2 linked regions of the Macaca fascicularis genome follow. The protein of the gene in region 2 interacts with the protein of the main gene of each other region in a pairwise test. Links are inferred from orthologs where the notes say so. Each region holds a gene or a part of one and is shown on either strand. Other genes may lie near its edges.

Region 1 (3,657 bases), on a different chromosome or scaffold from region 2:
TGAACATTTAAAAAAGTGTTTCTTTTGATTTATTTATAGTATTTTTGAGTGTGTCTCCATATAGCTTCTTTAGTGCTTTCTCTCTTTACAGAAAAAGTTTGCAGACTCAAGTTCTAGACTTTAGGTCTTCAAGTGAGGGAGAAAATATTATGCAGATTAAATTGGAAAATATGTCATATCTATATCTGTTAAATGGTGGATAGCACCAAAAATATAGGAAGTAGTCTTCCAGTATTTGAAAACTTATTATCTGATTCAGTCATCATTGACAGGCAAGTGGAATTTTAACATGAATCTTCATTATTTGTTTTTCTTTATTTTATCTTACCCATTAGCATAGATCCAACATTTGTTAGAACTGAGCTCATTCATCAATTGCAACCATAATTTAGCTGCTGATGTGAGTTGTTTGAAAAATCAACTAAAACATTCTGTGAGAATCAATTGACTGAGATTTATAATAAAGTACATTGTAGATTTTATTTGTGAAATTGTGCACTATACATCCTTCATATCAGTAATTTATAATAAATTATGTGCCTATGTGTGTATATGATTCTGTCAATATATGGACATGTGTGTGCACGTGTTGTCACATTTTGCATATTGCCTCTCTCTCCTAAACACAGACCAGTTGTTAAATATTTAACAGCACACCACTGGGAGTATTACTATTACCTTGAAGTTTTGAGTTAAAAGAACTCACAATTTTAGTTTAATAACTCTGATTTGAGCAATTGAACAAACTGAACTGATAACCAGCAAATGTGTCACCGGTACCTTACATTTTACAGTGTCATTGTCTTTATCTAGTGGTCAGAGCTGCCCGTGGAAGTCAATTATCTCAGGTAGTCACCATGTAAGTGACTGTTATTCAATGCCGTAATTTCATGAGTGCAATATTTCTTCTTAGTGTGGAGGAACTTTACGGTGATAATCACTAGGAGAATGTTCACAATTAGGTAAAACATTCAGGAAAGAGTGCTCCCTCACTCTGTTAGCTTTTAGATTTTAAAAGATGGGGGTAGTATCTCACTTCTGTTTCATGTCACGCTGGTATTGAAGAGAGCAGAAAGGAGATTATCTTTTGTTTGATACCTGAAGAATGGGGCAGAATATGTGCTTAATGTACGTTTTAAGAGTAATCTGAAGCAGTGCAGCACAAAAATGGTCTATTATTTCAGGCCTAATATTGTTTAATATATATTTCTATTTGTGAAATATTATTTAAGGACATTGCCTTAAAATTATTCAGTATTAGACTGTCTTCTCTGAGTTAGTAGAGATCTTTTTAATTTCCTCTGCAGCACTGAACAATTGAAAATGTGTATAATATTCCTAACCTTTTTTGCAAGACTTTATTTTTCTGATATGTCATTGTACAATATTTAATTCTAAATTTATTTCAATTTCTCCCCCTTCAGTTTAATGAGTGGTGTTAAGAATAATGTTGGAAGAGGGATCAATGTTGCCTTGGCAAACGGTAAGAACAATTATTTTAGCCTATGGATGTAATCATTTTTCTGTCCCGAAGTAAAATGCAGTATCAGAGGATCAGGTTAGAAAGTGCTGCTCTTGATGATAAAGCCCTCTCTCCCATCCCTGCCCCACAAAAAAATCTATAGGTGGAGACTTGGTGTCTAAGAATTTATAGTGTGTTGCTTGAAAGTATCCTAACTTGCTATGCAAGAACTTCCCATGAGATTGTCATAAAACAAGCAGTCTAACATCACATCACATTGATAAAATCTTGCTTCGCATTTTGCAATCCTAACATAATAGGAAGATAGGTTGACAGGATTAAAGGTGTGTAAAATGACAAAGGATAGTGGACTGTTAAATGGTGTAGGCGAAGGAACAAAGAATAAGAATTTATTGTAATTTTTCATTGTCGGCCACATTCTTCTGATAGCTTAATTAGTATGAATAAGTTCATTGCATCCTGAACATCTCAAATTTTCCTTCAAAATCAAATCTGAAAACCTGAAACCATGAAGTAAAGCCTAACTGCATATTGATCTTCTCTGTTCTGGTACAATAAGTATTCCATAAAGCTGTGTAGGATGGTTATAAGATATATAGGATGGTTAGAAACCACTGTAGTTTCATAGAGTAGAAAAATATGTTTTACTACTTTCACAACAAGAGGTAAATTTTTATGTTTCTACTTTCTTCATTTCCTTAGGTAAAAGGTTCAGCATCTATTTGTCTATTTCATTAATAGCAAAAAATACATTTTATAGAGCAAGTTAATGTAAATTTTATTGTAAAAACTGATTTAATGTAGAAAATGGCATCTGATTCAAGGAGATACTTCTTTTCTGTAAAAGATTTACTTTTAAACTAACAGAATATGGAAACAAGGATGACATATATCTAACTGAATTGGAATGGTCCACAGTCAGTAATAAACTTCTATTTATCCTTTGGCTTAAAAGATTAATGAGAAAGTTGTATTAAAAAATTACTCTTTAAAAATATATTTCAGGTGTGTATGATTCAGATTTTAAGTTGTTCTCAAAGTAATTCCTTCTCTGCTAGTGAATTCACATCAATCATTGGATAAGATTATTGGTTTTACAGTGTATGATGTATTTCAGATGCATAATTTGATATGAATTTAATCTCTTTTAGGAAAAACAGGAGAAGTATTAGACACTAAATATTTTGACATGTGGGGAGGAGGTAAGTGTAAATAACATATGACTCTGTGTTCTTTTGCTGGCACTGACTTAATCACCTCAATACAATGTAGTCCATTAATGAGAGAATGATGATGCTATTTGTGTTAGTTCATTTTGTTTCCCTTACTTTCTGTTCACTAAATGTCCGGCTGTATTTAAGTTATCATTCATGTTTTATATACTTTGTTCTTCTTAGAAGAAAATTTTTGTGGTATGTAATTGAAGACAGTAATATCAAAATTGAGATTTAAAAAAAAATTTCATCTTGTTTTCTACAGGACAACCAATTCAAAAGTTTGGGGCTCCTTTAGGTTTCTGTCTAAAATTAAAAAAAAAAAAAAAAAACAAAAACCAGAATAACCAATGTAAGCATTCCTAAGTGATGGAAATTGATTTTTTTACATGTGATTTTTCAGTCTTAAAAATATCATAACTAGGAGCATTAGAAAGACATGATAAACTATCAGTTTTAGAAAAGCAATCCTATTATTCATCACAGTTCTACCCTCTGACTTGTGGCTAATTTTTTAGGTAGATGAATATTTGAGGGAAGAAATAGAATTTTCTTTCTTGTTAACTGGATGTAAAGCAATCCACAGATATTTTCCCTTTCCATATTTGGAAGTCCCACAAGGAGTGGGAAGAAGTTACCAGCATGTAGAGGCAAGGGACTGGCACCCCAAAGAAGAACGCTGCCCAGAAGGATGGGTTTTTTCTCTCAAGTTTGAAGGGAGGCCAACACTGGTTTATCTTTCGATTCTGTAATTTGGGAGATTTATCAGTATGAGGATCTCCTCAGCACCTCCCCATTCCTTTTATATATTCCCTAGAAGCCAACAGCTATTAGGCTTCCTGAAATTCATGTTAAGAGTTCTCAGATAATTTAGCTTTTCTAACATATCTTCAGCTTGTAATAAGATCCATGTAGCCGGATGCGGTAACTCACGCCTGTAATCCCAGCACTTTGGGAGGC
Region 2 (3,757 bases):
ACTGATCTAAGTTTTACCTTTAGCACCAAATCGCCTGATGTTAACCCTAAATGTTGACCCCTAAGCCTAAAGTTCATTTGTAACTTGATTCCTAACTCACACTTTCACTGTTTATCCTTAATACCGACCATGTCAACATTCTTTAATCCCTCAAACAGGCTCTAACCTGATTCCTGTTGTTGACCCTTAACCCGACCCTGAACTCAAATTATGACGTATGATGGCCATCCCAGCAAACAAAATAATGACCTTAATCTAAACCTTACCTACCTAAAACGGACCTGACTCACACTACTAACTCTTAAGTTTTAACCCCAGCTTTTAACTCCTATAGCGACCCTTGATTCCTAAACGGACCCCACCTAATCCCCAACTCACCCAAAGCTTTCCTACCCACATGGCCGCTATCAGCTAACACCAAAGCCCGTCCCCGTCCTGCGCCCCGCTGCCACCCGACTCCTCACGCTCCCCAAAGCCTATCCCAGGCAGAGGACTGCCCCCAGGAGAGGCCTGTCTCCCCTAAGACGGCCTACTTCACGATGAGCCCAAGTTGAGATGCGCTGGACGCTGACCTCTCCAACTAACAGAACCCGAACCGGACACGCAGGAGAGGCAGGGCCCCGCCCGCCCCCGGGGCCAGGCTCCGCGGCCCCACCCTAAGGCCCCCGCCCGGCCCGGTCTGGCCTACCTGCGCTGCCCGGCTCTGCGCCCCGCCTGCCGGCCCGCCGGCCCGCTGCCCTGCCGCTTCTCGGGTCGCCCTCGGGCTCCGGCCTCGCCCTCCCTTCGACACTCTCTCGGCCACTTCCGTCCTGGGAACGTCCCCCACCCGCGGGCGGCGCCCTGGGGCAGCGCTCTATGGTCGCGGGGGGCAGGCAGGAAGCTGCTCTGGCCGCGTTCTCGATGCTCGGGGGCCGCCAAAGGCCGGCAGCCCCTCCCTGGCAGGAAGCGAGGGTGCGGCGCAATCCGGAGAGAACGCCAAGACGACGCCCGAGTTCCCTTTCAGGCCAGAACTCTTCCTTTTTCTAGCTTGGGGGAGAAGGCGGAGCCGGAGCCCTGGAACCCCCGCCCTCGGGGTGCGAGGCGGCAGCAGGGCCGTCCCCTACATTTGCATAGCCCCTGGGACGTGGCGCGGCACCCAGGCCTCTTCTCAGTTGGAGGGAACTCCAAGTCCCACAGTGCCACGGGGTGGGGTGCGTCACTTTCGCTGCGTTGGAGGCTGAGGAGAATTGAGCCTGGGAGGCGGGTCCGGAGAGGGCTACGGAAAGCCCCCGGCCGGGAAGCCCGGCCGTAGAGGGACAGTGGATAGGTGCCCGAGGCCTACAGCTGGCCTGGGGCTCGTGTCTGGGCTTCGGACGTTGGGGCCCGGTAGCCCACCCTTTCCGTAGTTGTCCCAAATGGAGCTGGAATTGGACGCTGGTGACCAAGACCTACTGGGCTTCCTGCTAGAGGAAAGTGGAGATTTGAGGACGGCGCCCGATGAGTCCGTGAGGGCCCCACTGGACTGGGAGCTGCCGCTTTCTGAGGTGCGTTGGGGTTCTGACTGGGGAAAGCGTGGGATGTCCATGAGGTCAGGGGATGGTGATAGGTCAAGGCCTGTTCACTGGAACCCTGCGCAGGTACCGAGCGACTGGGAGGTAGATGATTTGCTGAGCTCCCTGCTGAGTCCCCCAGCGTCGTCGTTGAACGTTCTCAGCAACTCCAACCCCTGCCTTGTCCACCATGACCACACCTACTCCCTCCCACGAGAACCTGTCTCTATGGATCTAGGTGAGTCTGAAATAAGTTTGCGGGGAGGACAGGGTTCATGGGCCTGGCTATTCATACGTTCCCTTTTGCAGAGAGTGAGAGCTGTAGAAAAGAGGGGACCCAGATGACTCCACAGCATATGGAGGAGCTGGCAGAGCAGGTACTTGACTTGATTTTCAGGAAGATTACTCTCACATTCCTCAGGTGGGGGCAGGATTCCCCATTCCTCTGTGACATCCCCATGCAACTGCCGCCCACTTTCTGGTTACCCTAGGATATTGTTAGGCTGGTACTGACAGATGAGGAGAAGAGTCTATTGGAGAAGGAGGGGCTTATTCTGCCTGAGACACTTCCTCTCACTAAGGTAAGACTCTCGTTAGTTGAGCAAAGGCTGAAAAGGGATTAAAAGTCTCAAGTAGGCCAATTCTGTTAACTTTATATCAATAACTTTAAAAAAGGATTGAGGTGAGAAACTTAGCAGATTTATTGCTAATAGGAAGTTGAGGCAGGTACCCAATATGCTAGATGCAAGGCAGATCCTCATTTTCGTTGGGCTTACACAAATTTTGGTGTTCTGTTAAAAAACAAACAAAAAAAAACCCTCAAAATTATCAGTGCAACATTAGTATTGGGCCTTGGAAAGGACTGTGTAAGTGAAGGGCCTTGACACTTCATTGGCTTCATAGTAATCCACCTCTTGCTGAATGGTAGAACTGTTTAGAGAGTTCAACACGATTGGACTAAGCAGTACATGAATAAATGCAAAATCCTTAGTTTCCAGTTTTAAGCAATCAGTGGCAACTTCACAAGCAGAGTACTGGGATACTATGATGAAATCAGTGCTCATTAATAGAAAGGTTCCAGGAATTTTTTTTTTTTTTTTTGACAAGGTCTTGTTCTGTTGCACAGGCTGGAGTGCAGTGATGTGATCATGGCACACTGCAGCCTTGAATTTCTGGGCTTAGGTGATTCTCCCACCTCAGCCTCCTGAGTAGCTGAGACTACAGGTGCACACCACCCTGCCCGGCAAATTTTTTTTTTGGTGTTTTTAGTAGAGATGGGGTTTTGCCTTGTTGCCAGGCTGGTCTTGAACGCCTGTGCTCAAGTGATCTACCCACCTTGGCCTCCAAAAGTAAAGAATTTTAATTCCTTCAAAGTACAAGATGAGTCAGCAGTGCGATGTGGCTACTAGGAAAGTTAATGGGATTTGGAAACTGTAGCAAGAGTTATTGTCTCCACAAGTCACTATCTTGCTTTCCTTTATACTGGCTAGAGCACATCTTTGACAGATACTAAGAAGATGCAGTCTATCCTAAGAAGATGAGTTAAAATTTTTGTCTAAGCTGTTTTTTTCTTGAACTTTTTTTCTCTGAGGAAATGTCAAATGCCTGAAAATAGCTTAACAGGGTTCATTCTATTTGGCCCCAGAGATACTAGGTAAGTCCAACGTATAGAAATTATAAGGAGACAGCTGTTGGTTCAGGATAAGGAAGTTTTTGTTTGAAGACAGATTCTTGCTTTACTGCCCAGGTTGGAGAATAGTGGTGAGATCATGGCTCACTACAGCTTTGACCTCTCAGGCTCAAGCGATTGTCCTTCCTCAGCCTCCTGAGGAGCAGGGACCACAGGCATGTGCCACCACACCCGGCTAATTTATTTTTAGTAGAGACAAGGTCTCACTGTGTTGCTCAGGCTGGTCTCAAACTCCTGGGCTCAAGCGGTCCTCCTGCCTTAGCTCCCCAAAGTGTTGGGATTACAGGCATGAGCCATGTCACTTGAATATTGCCTGACCAATTTTTTTTTTTAATAGTTTAAAATGGTCTGGCTTGTTAGGGTTAACACGTGCTCCGTGGAGGCATTCAGAAAGAATGTGAATGCCTATTGGTCAGGGAAGCTGTAGAAGGGATTTCTGTATTGGAAAGAGATGGATCTCAGTTGCCTTTCAACTTCTTGTTCTAGAGTCCCTCTAATGATACCCCTTTCCCTGTTTCCTTTCAGATGGAGGAACAAA

The links.
Region 1: the proteins of CREB3 (region 2) and FAM3C interact in a two-hybrid assay, tested with the Homo sapiens proteins (2 studies listed by BioGRID and IntAct). The two-hybrid records come from large-scale screens. The link is inferred for Macaca fascicularis from reciprocal best matches to the Homo sapiens genes CREB3 and FAM3C.

What each region holds. Positions count from the first base shown.
Region 1 is NC_088377.1:162,974,915-162,978,571, reverse strand, and holds part of FAM3C (protein FAM3C), read left to right. Parts: intron 1-1,424; coding exon 1,425-1,483; intron 1,484-2,634; coding exon 2,635-2,685; intron 2,686-3,657. UniProt on the Homo sapiens protein: May be involved in retinal laminar formation. Promotes epithelial to mesenchymal transition.
Region 2 is NC_088389.1:63,665,491-63,669,247, reverse strand, and holds the start of CREB3 (cyclic AMP-responsive element-binding protein 3), read left to right. Parts: upstream 1-1,194; 5' UTR 1,195-1,394; coding exon 1,395-1,523; intron 1,524-1,616; coding exon 1,617-1,767; intron 1,768-1,838; coding exon 1,839-1,906; intron 1,907-2,020; coding exon 2,021-2,110; intron 2,111-3,744; coding exon 3,745-3,757. UniProt on the Homo sapiens protein: Endoplasmic reticulum (ER)-bound sequence-specific transcription factor that directly binds DNA and activates transcription. Plays a role in the unfolded protein response (UPR), promoting cell survival versus ER stress-induced apoptotic cell death.